Linked DNA regions of Callithrix jacchus. The protein of the gene in region 5 purifies or fractionates together with the protein of the main gene of each other region. This does not show direct contact. Links are inferred from orthologs where the notes say so. Each region holds a gene or a part of one and is shown on either strand. Other genes may lie near its edges.

Region 1 (3,518 bases), on a different chromosome or scaffold from region 5:
GTACACAACAATCTCATTAAGAACTGCTTTTACATCAGAAGGTGTCAACAAATTTTCACAGTTCATAAAATGGATGACTTGCTAAATGCTGTGAAAGCAAATCCAAAGGAAGAGGACACTTCTATACATTTATTCATGTCTTACCTTCTTTTAATGGGGTTTTCAGGGCAAAATTTTCTTTACTTTCATGATGAAAAGCCTTTGAAGGATCAAAGCGTTTGATACCTAGGACTTTATTCAATTCATCTTGAAGTTTTGTCTCACTTTGTTTTTTTTTTGCAAGCAGACAGCGGAGTTTTGATACTTCCTAGGTAAGAAAAATAATAGGTAATAAACAATTATTAAAGATTATGTCAGTGAAATGTGTTACCAATGTTGTGAGCAAATTTCAAAGTTGTTTCTGTATTGTCACACCCAATGGCAAAAATCACTACTAGACACAGCCTTTAAGACTGAATTACAAAATGACTTGAAACACCTGTGACCAAGGAGATACAGTCTTCTAAATCTCCTTGCCCCTCTACAGCTACAAAGCTATTTTTCTTATAAAAGTTCAACTCAAAATTAATTAATTGCTGAGATGGACTTCCGGCATGAAAGTTCTGCTGACCTGTTCCCTAGTGAAACTAAAAGTTATAAAATGTTGACCAGTTAAAGCCTCTGAAAATCAGCCTAAGGAAAAAACAGCAAATGAAGAAACATCTATTCAAGAAAACCTGCAAAAACTTGGTGAAAAGGATGAGAGTCTGCAGTATTTAAGCCAAAACTCCTTCCTGCCTTCCCACACCCAGCTTAGCAAGGCAGAGTCCTTGCCAGATAGCAACAGCCAAGAACACAGGGCCTTCTTTTCCTCCAACTCCGAGTCAGAGGCTTTCCTCCCAGGAGGAGCAGGATATCAGATTTTCTCATTTTGTCCCCAGCTCCCTGTTGCTGCGGTTACATCTTAGACAAATGTAGTTGTAACGTGGGGGATCCCTTCCTTCACTCAGCCCCATTCATGAAACAGAAGCTCACTCTGGGCACAGTGTGTTGAAAATGCAGGGCCCCTGATCACCTTTGCTTTGGCTGATGAGGGGATGGTTCTACACCAGGAGAGGTGAGTCAAGAGGGCCTGAGGCTATTCCTCATCTCTTTCCCACAAGTCCAGTGAAAACTCAGCTCCTAGGGCAGAGATGTCACTCAGAGAGAAAGGTGCCATTGTCCCAATTTCAGGTTTAGTCCTGGCTTAGAGATATTGTTGGGGGAAAGAGGCGGAAAAGAGAAGTAGGCCATAAAGAAATGAGTAGGTCTACTCCTCATTTCTTCGCAAAAGAACTGACTTCACCTGCAACAGAGCTTGGAGAAGCTGAAACCTAAGGGTGCTCTAAAGCAGGGGTCCCCAACATCTGGGCTGCAGATGGATACCAGTCCGTGGCCTGTTAGGAACCTCGCTGCACAGCAGGAGGTGAGTGGTGAGCCAGAGCCAGGAAGCATAAGCATTACCCACTGAGCTCCCCATCCTGTCGGATCAGCTGTGGCATTAGATTATCATGAGTGTGAACGCTATTGTAAACTGCACACATGAGGAATCTAGGTTGCATGCTCCTTATGAGAATCTAATGCCTGATGATTTGAGGTGGAAGAGTTTGATCCTGAAACCATCCCTACCAACCCCTGGTCTGTGGAAAAACTGTCTTCCACAAAACTTGTTGCTGGTGCCAAAATGGTTGGGGACCATTAAAGGACAGTAAAGTTTACAGTGAGAGAGAATTGGGAGGAGATTTAATACATAGGCTACACAGTACACTGGTTAGTTTGCAGATGAAAACTAGGGAATAAGACAGCTGGGAGGAGCATTTCTGTAGTCAAAATAAACACCCAGCACTGCTCTTAGATGGAATTCCTACAAGAGTCAGAATTTGGTTGGATTCGTTTATAGAGTAATTTATGCCCCAGGTTACTGTTGAAAATAATAAAGCAAGGAGTCAGCATCTACTGGAGTTTACAGCCACTAGGTTCAGGGAAAGAGAGTAAAGCTGCCCTACCAAAGCAAGTGTCATCCCAGGGTAATTATGGGCATACCGAAAACTGTACCTCCCTCAACAGCAACATCAGAGGCGCAACACTGTTGGGGGCTGGAAAGGTAGCGGGATAAGCTCACTAAAATAATTGAGCTGCTTATTAAGCAAACAAGCAAATAAGCCTCAAAAGGAGGGGGAGCTGTGCCCAGAAATGCTACAATATATAATCTAAAAATTTACTTTCTAATAAAACATTACATGGCATATCAATAAATAGAAAAGTATAACTTATATATTTGGACAAAAGGAGAAAAAATGCCTTTGAGAGTAATCGGATGTCGTGTTTTTCAGCCATTAAACAAGGGCTGAAAAACTACCTATTGAGTACTATTCTTACTACCTGGGTGATGGGACCAGTCATACCCCAAACCTCAGTATCATGCAAAACATCCATGTAACAAACAAGAAATCCACGTGTCCCCACGTCTAAGAAATGAAATCATAAAAAAGAAAGAGTCCTTGGCCAGGTGCAGTGGCTCAAGCCTGACCTCATGTGATCTGCCCACCTCAGCCTCCCAAAGTGCTGGGATTACAGGTGTGAGCCACCGTGCCTGGCCCTAAATGAATTTTTAATTGGGTGCTAACTCCATTAACTGGAGAAGGAATAGTCTCTTCAAAAATAGTGTGGGAACTATTTCATGTCCACATGTTAAAGAATGAAGCTGGATCTAACCTCGCACCACATACAAAAATCAACTCAAGATCAAACAACGATCTAAATGTAAGAGCTAAAACTATAAACTTCTTAGAAGAAAACACAGGGGTAAATCTTCCTGACCTTGAATTTGGCAGAGGAGACAGACACCAAGAAACAAAGGGAAAAATAGACACACTGGACTTCATAAAAGTTTTGTGGGTCAAAGGACATCATCAAGAAAGTGAAAAGATAATGCACAGAATGGGAGAAGATATTTGCAAATAATACATAAGAGACTTGTGTCCAGAATCGACGAAGAATTCTCACAACAAAAAGACAAATAATCCAATTTAAAAACAAGCAGAGTCTGAATAGACGTTTCTTTCATGAAGATATACAAATGGCCAGTAAGCAATGAAAAGATGACGGACATCATTACCAACTAAGAAAATGCAAGTCGTGTCGCAATGAGATACCACGTGATATCCACTACAATGACTAGGATAAAGAAGTCAGACAAATGTTGGTAACGATGTGGAAAAATTGGAATCCTCATACACTATTGGTAGAATACAGAATGGTTTGACACGCTTTTGAATACAGTCTGATCTTTCTAAGGCCATATCACCCTGAAAACACCCAATCTCAATTGAATACAGTCTGATACTTCCTGAAATGATTAAACATAGACTTATCAAATGATCTGGTGACTTCCCTCCTATTATTTCTCAGGGAAATAAAAACAAATGTCCACATAAAAACTTGCACATAAATGTTTATGGTAGCATTATTTATAATAGCCAAAATGTGTAAACAAGTGT
Region 2 (3,518 bases), on a different chromosome or scaffold from region 5:
ACAACGTATGAGCCATTCTCTGCCATGCATGCCCACAGGCCTTCCCTTGGTGAAAGCCAACAAGCTGCCCCCCTCAGCCCCAATGCTGTGATGCCAGGCGTGCCACGTGCACGCAAACATGCCACCCCACGCAGGCGGCCTCCCACAACGTGCCCACTCCCGCAGGCCCCTAAGGCAGAAGCAGTTCATAGCCACTCCAACAGGATAGCTGGAAGGACGGATGCACCATCCACGCCCCTCCGTGGGGGCTGTGGAGTTGGTCAGTGCAGCGAGGGGCCCCCGCACCAGCTGGAGGGCCGTGACAGGACAGGTGTTGATAGCTGTTCACAGCAGGAGTGGAAGACGAGCCACATGCCAGCCCAGCCACAGGGGCCTGACTCCCAGGGCCGTGTCTCCTGGAAGCCCCTGCAGGGGACAGCGGAACTTCCCGAAGGCATTCCCATCGATCCAACCTGACTCTCACGTGCACAAGACACCAATTCCCACACACAGACACATCCTGCAGGGAGCCGGGGGCAGGCGTGAGTGGGTGCGTGTGTGTGCATGTGGACCGCTGGGCTTACCAGAGCCCACTCCTCGCCCTGCACCAGTTTCATCCCGGCTTGAGCTGCCTGCACCTGAAGGGCCTGCACTTGGACTTGGAGGTTGAGAGTATGTCCCAGTGACAGGCTTGAGGGGCACGACCCTGCTCGCCTGCCCGCCGCCCCCCGCCTCTAGCAGGCACTATGAGGCGGCCGAGAAGGGTACAGAGGTGGAGGAGAGCTCGGCGGACTTGACGATGGTGATGACACTGGTGGTGGCCACCTTGGAGGGTGCCACGGGCCCGCGGGCCACGGTGCGTGCGAAGGTCTGCAGCGCCTCGTACTTGGAGCGCAGCGCATCCAGCTCCAGCCGCATGCTGCTGTTCTCACGCGCCAGCTTCTCCACCTCCTGCTGCAGCTCCACGCGCTGCCGCTCCAGCTCCTCCTTCTGTGTCACCCGTTTAATGCGGCAGCTGGCCGCGTAGCCACGGTTCTTGAGTGTGCGCCGCCGCTGCTTCAGGCGGGTCACCTCTTCCTTGGTGAGGCCCCGCAGGTGCTGGTTCAGCTCCCGCACTGACATGGACACCAGCTCATCGTCACTGAGCACTGGGGCGTTCTCGCCCGCCTCCTTCTTGACCTGGGGGGCCATAGCACAGGGTCAGTGCAGGAGAACACGGGGTGCCCGCCTGGGATCAGCACCGGCGTGGTCAGGGACTCAGCAGTACCCCTGCATGCCTGTGCACTCCTGGGGCTGGCCTTCAGACCGCAAGACACCATGCACGCAGGCAGCCCACATGATGGCTGTGGCCCCACAGGACCCTTTCTGAATGAGAAAAGCCAGTGGTGACATTGGTCACTCCTGGTTACTGACAGCCTCAGAACCCCGCGAGGACCCAGAGCACATAGGTTCTGCTGCTGGGACTGAGCCCATCCACAGGCATGTGTCGTTGCAGAGGCAGGAAGCACCGGGCACAGATGAGCTCAGGCCCTGGGAGCTGGAACATCCCATTCATTAGAGGCCACGCTGCCCACACCTGGAATGGGAGGATGAGGCCACACTGCTCACACCTGGAGCTGGGGGATGAGCTCATGCAGTAGTGCCCAGTGGGGACGTGGCCCTGTCGGGTGGGCATCAGACCCTACCAAGCCCACAACCTGGGAGTCATCTCCTGGGGCCACAATCCCTGATCCTGACCCCACCTCTCCTGTGAACATCCCCCAGACACAGCACCCCATCTCTTCCTGGCAACAGGGAGGCCTCCATCACAGGCTCAGGGCAGCCCTGGGAAGCCGGGGTGTCAAGCTGGGGGGCCTTTCCCACGCCTGTGTTTGAGACGGGGCCTGCCTGGAGCCAGTGCCTGCCTGGAGTCAGCCTTACCTTTAATGCCTTGTTCGGTTTGGGATTAGTCGTCATAACCTGGGCAAAGTCACCAGGACAGAGCTCTCTGGAACTCGTAGCTGGAAAACACGGGCAAGCAGAGAAGCCAGCGCAGGTCAGGGCCAGAGGTGCAGGATGGGGTGGCCGTCTCCCATGCAGGGACCTCCTCAGCCTGGGATGGATGATCACAGCACCCTGAAAATAAGATGGGGCACCATTCCGGCCCATCCCCAGGGGCTCCCCAGGACATCCTGGTCCAGCTTCTGTCTCTGCCCAGGGTTCCAGGAGGTGGCCTGGCCACACCTCATGCTCTAGCACAGTCTGAAGAGTGGCTGGGACCCCCACCCCAGAGCCTAATAGCCACATGCAGCCCCCTGCTGCCCTGTGGATCTGAGCTGTGGTCGCCGGCGCTATGGGGTGACCAGCAGGCGCCAGCAGTGGCTGCTTCCTGCTGTGACTCTCCCTGAGGTCGGACAAGACATCTGCACCTGCGTGACACAAGGTGCTCTGTCCTGAAGACCAAAGTGACCACTGGCAAAACCTCCCTCCCCCAAGACGGCTGTGCTGGCCCCAAGGCCCCGCTGGACAGCGACCCTACCCTGGCAGACTCCAGTGCTCCAGACGCAGCCTGGATCCCTGAGAGGAGGCCTCTGGGGAGCCCCTGCCATCGCCAGCTTCCCCCAAGGTGGGCCTGGGTGAGGCCCCAGCCGCCTTCCTGCCCCACCCTCCCTGCAGGCCACGGGTCACCTACCACGGCCCCAGCCGCTGCGGCTGTGACATCACCACCTCCACCTAAGCTGCCCCCAAGCAAGGACCCTGCAGCCCGAGGGGGTGTGGGGCTCCTGAGGGGCAGCGGGTCCGGTGCCGCAGCCAGAGACCAGGGAGGTGGAGAGCCACCGCCTTGCCGAGTGTTAGACTGTCTGGCGGGAGCCGTCCCCGCCGCCGCCCCCACCGTCCTCACGTCTGCATTGTGTCACACATTCTAATCATTCATGAAAAACCCAGCCAAAGCATCCCCGGCATGATCCCTCTGATAGTTGTCATGGCGACCTTGGGATCGAGCCAGCCCCCATGGTCGTCATGGAAACCGAGAAGCCCAAAAAACGATCCTGACTTCAGGTCAGGCTGCACAGACATCACGAGGCTGGCAGGCAGTAAACAAACTCATCCGTACCCTGTAGCTGGGACAGGCAGGCAGAGGGTGCGGGGCTGCTTGTAGGACAGGGGTTCACAGCACCCACTCCCACACCCCAAATACCAGACACGGGTTCCCGAAGAAGGAACATCAGAGTGGCACATGGCGGTGGGCGGTGTCCTTGGGCAACATGGCAGTGTTGCGGGGGTGACCCCGTCCTGCCCTCCCTGCCAGCCCAGGACCCCCCCACCCTGGGCCAGGGAGCCTCGGGCCCAAATCCCTCCACCATCCAGCCCTGCCTCCGACTGGGGTTCCACTCCTGCACCCTACCCACCCCCACAACCAGAGGACGGCACAGACTAGATGGTCCCACACCAGGCTGCAGAGCCCGCTGCCCTTGCCAGGGCCAGCTGCTCTCAGGGTGCTGACGTAGACAGCACAGGACGACACCAGCCGGTCCTGGAGAAGGCCAGGTGGGCTCCAG
Region 3 (2,305 bases), on a different chromosome or scaffold from region 5:
CGCGTCGAGCTCCAGGCGCATGGCGGCATTCTCTCGTGCCAGCTTGTCCACCTCGCGCTCCAGCTCTGACTTCTGCTTCTGCAGCTCCTCTTTCTGGCACACGCGCTTCACGCGGCAGCTGGCGGCGTAGCCGCGGTTTTTGAGTGTGCGGCGCCGCTGCTTGAGCCGTGTCACCTCCTCGGCCGAGAGCCCGCGCAGGTGCCGGTTCAGCTCGCGCACCGACAGCCCCATCAGTGCCTCGTCCGACAGGTGCGGCGTGTTCTCGCTCAGCTCGCGCTTGATCTGCAGGTAAAGGGAAACTGAGGCCCAGGGACTGGGGACGCCCCCCCCACCCCCCCCGCCGCTCCACCTCCAGTGTTCCTCCTTAAGCGCCTTAGCTGCTGAGGTGGCGGCTGGACTTGATCCCAAACCCCAAAGGGTAGCAGGAATCAGGGAAGGGAAAACCGGGCCAAACGAGGATAGGAAAACACAAAAGGAGGCCATCCTGGGGCTCAGCCTGGATTCTAACCTAGCGCCAAGCCCTGGACTCAGCCAGAGAAACCCAGCCCGGAAACCACCTTTGAATGCCCCCGGGGGACATTGACAAGATGCAGAGGGAAGTGACCTATCCCAGGGACAGGCAGCCTGTGACGAGAGCCCAGGCCTCCTCGTCCCAATCCATGGCTGTGGCCCCCACTTTGGCATCATGAAGGCTCGAAGCCTGCTGAGCCACCCAGGGGGTTCCAGGAAAGAAGGGGAAGCTGGGATGAGGAGCTCTGCAGGGGCAGGGATTGACAGAGGCTGCCTCCTCACCTTCAGAGCTTTGCTGGATAAGGGATCCACAGACATGTTTGCAGGAGGTGCCCTCTGGGCTGCAGACCTAGAGTAGAAAGGAGGCAAAAGTCGCTTTGTTTTGTTTTTGTTTTCCCATTTAGAATAAAATCCAAACTCACTACGTTGGTATTCAAGGCCCCTGCTCTCTTAGAACGGATTCATACCTACCACCTTCCTCTCTCCACACTGGTCCAGCCACAGTGGCCTCCTTAAAGCCCATTCCAGCCTCCGGACTTGTGCACATGATGTTCTCTTTGCTGTTCTATCTCCCCATAGTGACTCCTCATTATTTAGGCCTTTGCCCAATGTCACCTCCTCGAGAGGTCTTCTTCTTCTTCTTTCTTTTTTGAGACAGAGTCTTACTCTGTTGCCCAGGCTGGAGTGCAATGGCGCAATCTTGGCTCACCACAACTCCGCCTCTTGGGTTCAAGGGATTCACCTGCCTCAGCCTCCCGAGTAGCTGGGATTATAGGCGGATGCCACGACGTCCAGCTAATTTTTGTATTTCTAGTAGAGACAGAGTTTCTCCATGTTGGTCAGGCTGGTCTCGAACTCCCGACCTCAGGTGATCCTCCCGCCTCAGCCTCCCAAAGTGCTTGGATTACAGGCGTGAGCCACCGCACCTGGCCTGCGGTCTTCTTTGACCATTATGGCTAAACGTTTCTTTGTGCACATCAGATCACCCCATCTGTGAACCCTTGTAACAGTCGCTTCTCATTTCTCAGGCTCACTTCCTCAGCTATAATTGGTTTCTCCTTTCCACCCCTCCTCCCCCAAAACAGAAACCCACGAAGGCAGAGGCCTTGCCTGTCTCTCCATGACATCAATATGCCTAAACGAGTGCCTGGCATATAACAGATGACCCAATGAGTGTGCACCAAATGGACAGACACTCCTCTCCTGGTCATTCTTCCACATGGAGCGCGGACATGTGCATTTGGTTTGATTTTTCACAACTTTTTTTTTTTTGAGACAGAGTCTCACTCTGTTGCCCAGGCTGGAGCGCAGTGGCTCAATCTCGGCTCGCCACAACCTCTGCCTCCTGGGTTCAAGCGGTTCTCCTGCTTCAGCCTCCTGAATAGCTAGGATTACAGGCTCGTGCCACCACACCTGGCTAATTTTTTGTACTTATAGTAGAGGAGGGGTTTTGCCATATTGCCCAGGCTGGTCTCAATCTCCTGACCTTGTGATCTGCCCGCCTCAGCCTCCCAAAGTGCTGGGACCACAGGCATGAGCCAACACTCCCATCCTGATTTTTCAGAAGTTTTCTTAAAGTATAACCTACATACAGAAAAGTACACACAGCATATGTGCACCATTAATGCCTTTTCACAAAGTCCATCGGACACCCCATCAGTTACATCAGCCAGTCCCCCCTTCCCCAGGCCTCTTTCACCTAGACCTGTGTTTTGGGAAAGCTTCCCCAACTACCTGGGGGCTGCCCAGCACTAACTCAGCATGCCGTAGGCAGATGGGGCAGCCAGCCCTAGAC
Region 4 (3,518 bases), on a different chromosome or scaffold from region 5:
AGTAATGATATTGGCTGTGGGTTTGTCATAACTATCTCTTATTTAAAAAAAGGTAAAGTAGTGACAACTTTGTAGCTCTATTAATTGTTGTAAAAAGTCAAGAGGAATGCAAAAATAGCACCTATACTCCATTAACTAAATCCTCCTAACCTATCTATGGAAATATAAAATGACCAAATCTTCTTAGCTATCTTGTTACATTATCACCACACTTCCTTATTAACAGCACTTTCTTTTGAAGATGAAATACAACTGTCAGTATATTAACATAAAGACTACAATATATAGAATGCCATAAAATAACCACAAAGTAGACATCCTCTAAATTAGTAAAATGCACATAAAAGAGTATAACATATTCCATAAAACACAGCATCAACACTAAAAACCACAAGCAAAGCATCTCTCACTTACCATCTGTGGATCATTGGATCGGCTCACCCAACCAGATATTAACTTTAAAGTTTCCCTTTTTACTGTTCGCATACTTCTAATCAATGGTTGCTTTGTAACCATTTCACCTACAAAACAGAATCAAATGGAATCTAACTTTACCACTAAAATCATACAGTGGTACTCAGGTATACATTAGTTGAAATTTCATTTTATCATTAAAAAGCATAAATCCGGCTGGGTACAGTGGCTCATGCTTGTAATCCCAGCACTTTGGGAGCTGAGGCGGGTGAATCAAGAGGTCAGGTGTTCGAGGCCAGCCTGGCCGACATAGTGAAACCCCATCTCTACTAAAAATACAAAAAATTAGCTGGGCATGGTGGCACGTGCCTGTCGTCCCAGCTACTCGGGAGGCTGAGGTAGGAGAATTGCCTGAACCCAGGAGGCGGAGGTTGCGGTGAGCCGAGATTGCGCCATTGCACTCCAGCCTGGGTAACAAGAGCGAAACTCCATCTCCCCAAAAAAAAAAAATTACCCTTGCCTAAGACTAATCTTAAAAGGGAAAGGTACCCCAACTGTTTTAAATATATCTAGGGTCATCTGGGAAACAGGAGGTCTAATTTAAATCTGTGAAAAATATTGAATGTTTGACTTAAGGAAGTAAAAGTGGAAATGATTTTTCTTTTTTGTTTTTTGAGACAAAGTTTTGCTCTTTGTTGCCCAGGATGGAGCACAGCAGTGTGATCTTGGCTCACTGCAACCTCCGCCTCTGGGGTTCAAGCGATTCTCCTGTCTCAGCCTTGCAGTACTGGGATTACAGGGCATGAGCCACCACGACCTGCTACTTTTTCATTTCTTTTTTGTTTAGTAGAGATGGGGTTTCTCCACATTGGCCAGGTTGGTCTCGAACTCCTGACCTCAGGTGATCTGCCCCCCTCAGCCTCCCAAAGTGCTGGGATTACAGCCATGAGCCACAACGCCCAGCCATGCTTTATTTATACTACACTGTGTAAGAATTCAGAATCACCTACCATTAGCTTGGATAGCTGCAGAAATGTTTTCACTGAGGCACTTGTATACATTAAGCATATCTAAATAAATTCTTCCAAGTTGAATTACAAAGGGGTGTCCAACAGCTTTGCAGGCTCTCACATTTGTTTTCAAAATGCTACCAAGCTGCTTGACTGTTTCAGGATCTTTCAGTATATCCACATTCTTGGAGGAAAAAAAGCAAATTCCATTTATCACATAAGAATTATCCACATAATTACTAAAGCAAAAGCCACTACATTTCCCCTACCGTAAACCACATTTATAATCCCAAATGTTAAAAGGAACACAAAAGTATTTTTGTCTGTATCTAGAATAAAATAATATATTCCATTTTAAGATCAAATGAGAATTAAAATTGTACCATGGATAATTTTTTCTTTTTGGGAAATGGAGTCTCGCTCTGTCAACCAGGCTGGAGTGTAGTGGCATGATCTCAGCTAACTGAAAACCCTGCCTCTTGGGTTTGTGCAATTCTCCACCTCCGCCTTCCAAGTAGCTGGGATTACAGGCGTGTGCTACCACGCCCAGCTAATTTTTTAATATTTTTGGTAGAGACGGGGTTTCACCATCTTGGCCAGGCTGGTTTTTAACTCCTGACCTCGTGATCTACCCGCCTCAGCCTCCGTAAGTGGTGGGATTACAGGCATAACCCACTGCGCCCAGCATTTTTTTTGTTGTTGTTGGAGACAAAGTCCCGCCCGCTTGTTGGCCAGGCTGGAGTGCAATGGCTTGATCTTGGCTCACTGCAACTTCCACCTCCCAGGTTCAAGCAATTCTCCTGCCTCAACCTCTCGAATAGCTGGGATTACAGGCATGGGCCACCACACCCAGATAATTGTTCTGTTTCTAGTAATGACAGGGTTTTGCTTTGTTGGGCAGGCTGATCTTGAACTTCTGACCTCAGGTGATCTACCCCCCTTGGCCTCCCAAAGTGCTAGAAACATAGGCCTGAGCCATTGCACCAGGTCCAGATAGTTTTTTAAATGTGCAAAGCCACGGATAAAAGTACTTATGGATCAGACATACATGTTACAAGGTCTCAATTCAATACATTTGTAAAGAACACAGTCTTCACTGGGCACAGGGGAATTCTCCTGTTGAGGCAGGAGAACTGGTTGAACCCGGGAGGCAGAGGTTGCGGAGAGCCAAGATCTCCCCACTGCACTCCAGCCTGGGCAACAAGAGTGAAACCCCGTCTCAGAAAAACAAAAACAAAAACAAAACCCCACAGACTTCCTCAATCCCATAAAAACGTTAAGAAAAAGTAGAAATACTTACTTTGGTTGCCTGCTGGATTATACTATCCCAGACTTGATTAGGGAGTAGCATGTATTTTTCTATTAAGTGTTCTTGTACTGTTTGATCTGTTTGTGCACCAATCATGTACCCCACAGCTTCATAAAATGTATGAACCTATTTTAAAAAGACATTTAAACTTTTATATTCTTATACACCCTAATAAAAAAAAACCCACACTCAAGCAATATACAAATGTATTGAAACTGATTTTAGACCAGCCTGACCACCATGGTGAAACCCCATCTCTACTACAAATACAAAGAAATTAGCCAGATATGGTGGCAAGTGCCTATAATTCCAGTTACTTGGGAGGCCTGAAATGCTTGGACCCAGGAGGCAGAAGTTGCAGTGAGCCAAGGTCACACCTCTGCACTCTAACCTGGGTGACAAAGGAAAACTCCATGTCAAAAAAAAAACAACAAAAACTATTAAAAAGTCCAAAATGTGAGGCCAGGTGCAGTGGCTCACGCCTGTAATCCCAGCACTTTGGGAGGCCAAGGTGGGTGGATCACAAGGTCAGGAGTTCAAGACCCAGCCTGGCCAATATGGTGAAATCCCATCTCTATTAAAAATACAAAAATTAGGCCGGGCGCGGTGGCTCATGCCTATAAGCCCAGCACTCTGGGAGGCCGAGGTGGGTGGATCATGAGGTCAAGAGATCGAGACCATCCTGGTCAACAATGTGAAACCCCATCTCTACTAAAAATACAAAAAATTAGCTGGGCATGGTGGTGCGTGCCTGTAGTCCCAGCTACTCGGGAGGCTGAGGCAGG
Region 5 (4,232 bases):
GAGTAACAGTACAAAGTAATTTTCACAAAATTTGCGATATACATATTACACTCCAATGTGTAGATTATCTTCAAGTGTTCCATTGCACCTTTTTACATATCACTGCACTTCAGATCAAGTACATTTAAACAAACCAACTGTGAGCTTGTCTCCAAATTCAATATAGAGGTTATCAAATGAAATTTTGTATTTTTTGTATTTCCATCCCCAATATCCACAATGTAACAAGAAGTTTATACTCAAGCTTCTAATCTTTAAAGTAAAATGCACAGAGAATAGACCTATAAAACTTAAATGGAATAATTAAGAACATTTTGAAAGAACTCTTAGGAGGAAACCATAAAAGAAAAAGCATTCTAGTTGTTGAAAAAATGTTACTGACGGTGATGAATGGACTATGCTCCCCAATAAAAAAGAAGTGGGCTCATGTACACACATTATATAATATGCACATAATGTATCTTCAAGCTTAATGTCTTTCTTAAAAGACATTTTAAAAGTTTTAATATATTATTTCCAAGTGAACCTCCCCTGCACCCCACCTTAGAGGCACTAATACTTAAAAAATTCATGATTTCTAATCTCCTCTAGTCCCAGACTTAAAGTAACAAAATAAATAGTTTTTCCCAATACAAAATGTTTTAAATGAACTACCATTAGTAGAAATCATTTTTTTCACCAAAGGTAAGGGCCAAATTCCCAGCTCTACATTTCCCATTCCTAAACTGTGTGTGGGTTGTGTGCTCCTTTTTAAAGCAAGAAGCAATGACACAAGGTGTAAAGACAGTAGTGTCATACAATCAAGACAATGAGACAGGTATATATGGTTGGCCATTCATTAAACAGCTCTTTCCAGACTTGACCCGATACAACCTGTTAATTCCACCCATATTGCGCTTACCCTCCTCTGACTCCTGAAATTTTTTGTGTATGCATAAAAAGCCAAGGGCCATGAAAAACAGAGCAACTCCGCTCTGTGTAGTGAAGCACAAATTAGGCTCACTGCTTGAAACTTATAGACCACATAACAAAACCACAAAAAGGAAATTCAGTCCAGTAAGAGTAGTAAATATTTTTGTTACAATACTGTTTATTGGATTACTCCTAGCTGCCAATTTCTTCCCAAGTTTTGGCTCTCTCCAGTGCAAATTTATTCTCAGACTTCAGCTAACAAGGCTCTGTGTTTAAACACCACCTCAGTGCTACTGGCCACTGCCTAAGAGTGCTCTTCCACTTCACTGAATACCTGTATCAAAACAACCCAGCTGGGTCCCCTTCAGCCTTCTGAAGCAACCCCTCTAGAGCGCTTCTTGGCCTGTTATAGTGGAGGCATGTGATTAGAGAATCTGCACCAGCTGTTTCCAATTACCTCTCAAGCTGGGGCGAATGACTCAGCAACCCAACTTTTTTAGAGTCATCCTACCTTGTTAACCAACCAACATACTCAACAATAGTAAACCACTTGACAGAACCATGGGTTAAAAAACAATACAAGAATCAGTACACCAAAGCTACTCTACTCCAAGCTGACTCACCAGGAACCTTTTTTTCCCTGGGCTACTTTAAGATGTCCAAAGGCAGAAGTGGCAAGTGCCTTCTAGCCCAGCCCAGCCCTTGCACCACTACCCAAAGACCAGGAAGGAAGCCGGCCTCTTCCCATTTCTCTGCTTGACTACGTGAAGCGCTCAAGCGCTGTGCCACTAACACACTGGGATTTCCACCCTTTATCCTTCTGAATTGCCTTCAATGCAAACCCTCTGGGATGTAAAGAGGGTTCAAATATATGAACAAATTCCCATAGCATCCTCCATGGGCAACAGTCCCTACACCTAGATAATTCTTCAAAAAGCACAGCACCCTACAAAAACAAAAACAGTCTTTGTTCCTCCAAGCATGACATTGTAGCTTGTTCTTCCCATACACGTTCTTTCACAATTACTACTACACTTTACCTGGAATCAGCACACATTTTACGCAGAAGCCTCACTCCATAAAAGCATTCCGCACAATTCTACTCAATGACATGCAACAGCCGTGTAGAATGAGAGAGCAACGGCACTCGTGTTACATTACCCGAGCACAAAGCTGGTGTCTCCAGAATCAACGCCCACTCTCACCATATTGTGCGAGGCTTAATTACAAAGCGTGGGCAAAACTCCAACAAAGGGAGTCCTGGGATCTCCGGTCCCCAAAGCCAGTCTTCGGTAAATCTAGCTCAACACGGTGGCCTTCTCTCCCCTGCCCCAAACTCGGCCTTTCTCACGCGACTGCACGCGCGACAGGCACCAGGCTGGGGAAACGCGAGGCTGGGCAAGCGGTGGGAGGTGACGGAGGACAATACGGGGCCCCAGCCTCGAGGGCGGTGCTGATGTGTCACTGCCCGAGCGGGCCGCGGGCGAGGGGCCGGGCTGGCGCCCGAGGGCGGGGAGAGGGGGTGAGGCAGGGACCCCAAGGCCACCGGCCCCCGCCCGCCCCGAGTAAAGTACGGCGCGCGCGGGTAAACAACAGCTCCGGCCGCGGAAGGAGGTTCGAGCGCCGACGGGACGCCCCTTCCGGCGTCACGGCCACTTCCAGGACTCGGACGGCAGGCACCCCCCCCCCGCGCCCCGCCCAGCCCAGAAAGAGCCGCCCCCGGCCCGCCCGCGCCTCCCCCGGACCTGCCCGCGGGCCTCCCCTCACAGGCCCGCGTCCCCGACCGCGCTAACCCTCCCGGAGAAGGCCGGCAGGACGGCCGAGCCACTCACCAGAGCTGAGGCGCGGCGCTGCCCGACTGACTGCAGCGAGCGAACCCGGCGGGCGGCGAGGGCAGCGGTCAGGTGACTCACTCCTTCCGCGCGGCCAGCCGCCCCCACCCTTCTGCGCCGCTCTGCCGCCGCCACCTCGCGGCGCCAAAACCCCGCCCGCCAGCTGGAGGCCCCGCCCCCGGGGCCGATGCCCCGCCCCGCTGCCCTCGAGGCGGCTGTCAGCGAACGAGCGAGCGCGGTAGCGCCGGCCGGGGTCGCAGTGGCCGGAAGCCCACGCGGGGGGTTGCAGGGAGGGGTTGTAAGGGCCAGGACGGGGCGGGCCTCGGGGAGGGGGCGGTGAGGTTCCTGGACCTCCGCGCGCTGCACAGCCCGCAGCCTGAGCTGACTTCCACTCGAGGACCGACTCTCCTCTCCCTTCTGAGGGCAGGACGGAAAGCCGAGCGCCCCCTTGTCCCAGGAACTGCAGGACGCCCTAATGCAGCAGAGGCGCAGCTTGCCAGGGTGCCCGCGGACAGCAGGAGGGAGAACGGGCGCTGGCCCCACAAGGCTCGCTTTACCCCCTTGAAAGCCCCTCGGCTGCCTGCCCTGGGGGTGGCGGACGCCCAGCTTCACAGGGTACTTGAGCTTGCTGGTGGGCACATGTGAAGTGCGTCCAGGTTTTTGTGGAGAGCGTCTAACAGTTGCTCTACTTCTGACTGTCAGTGAAACAAGGGCGCCCAAGACAGGTGTTCCCTTTTCAGTGTCGCTGCCAGGAAGCTTCCAGCCAGGTTCAGCGCCCAGTAGTGTCAGCCGGCCCATCTCGAGCCTGGGTTCCACTGTCATCTTTTGGTGCTTTTTCTGGTGTTTATCCAACTGTCAGTTTTAAAATTATGTTCCCAAGCCATTTAACACCTCTGGGGTTCAAAGCACGGGCCGTCAGCAGAGAGGGGTGCACGCGCAGTGGAGGGGTCTGGGCACGCCAACCCCACAAGGGTTACAGCGAGATGGCACGGACCTTGAGGCCTGTAGCCAAAGGACGATTTGTGTGAAGGGATTTTGTTGTTAGCTTTGGAGACAGCAACAAGAAGACAGCCCTGGAGTTCCTGGGGCAAAAAGGATACCAAGATAAATAATCAGGTATTAGCACTAACACGACCGCATTTGCACCCACAGGCTGTGGGACTTGGGGACGTTTGAGTTACCTCCAAAATACATGAGAAAAATCACATACGTGAAGTTGGATGGGAGTGCAAGGGGTGAAGTGATACATTATGACCTAGAATTACGGGGGGGGGGGGGCGGTCCTGGAGGAGGTGACATTTGCATTGGGTCTTAATTGGGAAGAGGAACCCAGCAGTCCAGAGGTAAGAGGTACTTCACATCCCAGGCTGCCTGAGTTCATGGTGGAAGTGCAGATACTTAGTGAAACACGAGGAAAGGACACTTGGAAACACACCATGAAAGAAGGATTGGAGTTCTTACAGACACATGGGAGTGTCCGAGGCTTTA

Evidence for each region. Proteins that work in one complex are often made in the same cells at the same time.
Region 1: the proteins of BACH1 (region 5) and HMMR purify together in Homo sapiens (affinity purification with mass spectrometry; 6 studies listed by BioGRID and IntAct, counting the BioPlex papers as one, with this or other methods). This does not show direct contact. The link is inferred for Callithrix jacchus from reciprocal best matches to the Homo sapiens genes BACH1 and HMMR.
Region 2: the proteins of BACH1 (region 5) and MAFK purify together in Homo sapiens (affinity purification with mass spectrometry; 6 studies listed by BioGRID and IntAct, counting the BioPlex papers as one, with this or other methods). This does not show direct contact. The link is inferred for Callithrix jacchus from reciprocal best matches to the Homo sapiens genes BACH1 and MAFK.
Region 3: the proteins of BACH1 (region 5) and MAFF purify together in Homo sapiens (affinity purification with mass spectrometry; 3 studies listed by BioGRID and IntAct, counting the BioPlex papers as one, with this or other methods). This does not show direct contact. The link is inferred for Callithrix jacchus from reciprocal best matches to the Homo sapiens genes BACH1 and MAFF.
Region 4: the proteins of BACH1 (region 5) and XPO1 purify together in Homo sapiens (affinity purification with western blotting; 3 studies listed by BioGRID, with this or other methods). This does not show direct contact. The link is inferred for Callithrix jacchus from reciprocal best matches to the Homo sapiens genes BACH1 and XPO1.

The regions. Positions count from the first base shown.
Region 1 is NC_133503.1:26,276,122-26,279,639, reverse strand, and holds part of HMMR (hyaluronan mediated motility receptor), read right to left. Parts: intron 308-3,518; coding exon 145-307; intron 1-144. UniProt on the Homo sapiens protein: Receptor for hyaluronic acid (HA). Involved in cell motility. When hyaluronan binds to HMMR, the phosphorylation of a number of proteins, including PTK2/FAK1 occurs.
Region 2 is NC_133503.1:57,496,270-57,499,787, forward strand, and holds part of MAFK (transcription factor MafK), read right to left. Parts: intron 2,822-3,518; exon of another isoform or gene 2,680-2,821; coding exon of another isoform or gene 2,651-2,679; intron 2,095-2,650; coding exon 1,900-2,094; intron 1,161-1,899; exon of another isoform or gene 1,159-1,160; coding exon 724-1,158; 3' UTR 1-723. UniProt on the Homo sapiens protein: Since they lack a putative transactivation domain, the small Mafs behave as transcriptional repressors when they dimerize among themselves.
Region 3 is NC_133502.1:209,199,870-209,202,174, reverse strand, and holds part of MAFF (transcription factor MafF), read right to left. Parts: intron 1,321-2,305; 5' UTR 1,058-1,320; coding exon 978-1,057; intron 860-977; coding exon 793-859; intron 283-792; coding exon 1-282. UniProt on the Homo sapiens protein: Since they lack a putative transactivation domain, the small Mafs behave as transcriptional repressors when they dimerize among themselves.
Region 4 is NC_133515.1:52,634,816-52,638,333, reverse strand, and holds part of XPO1 (exportin-1), read right to left. Parts: intron 2,860-3,518; coding exon 2,725-2,859; intron 1,609-2,724; coding exon 1,425-1,608; intron 522-1,424; coding exon 415-521; intron 1-414. UniProt on the Homo sapiens protein: Mediates the nuclear export of cellular proteins (cargos) bearing a leucine-rich nuclear export signal (NES) and of RNAs.
Region 5 is NC_133522.1:35,359,636-35,363,867, reverse strand, and holds the start of BACH1 (transcription regulator protein BACH1), read right to left. Parts: upstream 2,802-4,232; 5' UTR 2,074-2,801; exon of another isoform or gene 1,953-2,073; intron 1-1,952. UniProt on the Homo sapiens protein: Transcriptional regulator that acts as a repressor or activator, depending on the context. Binds to NF-E2 DNA binding sites. Plays important roles in coordinating transcription activation and repression by MAFK.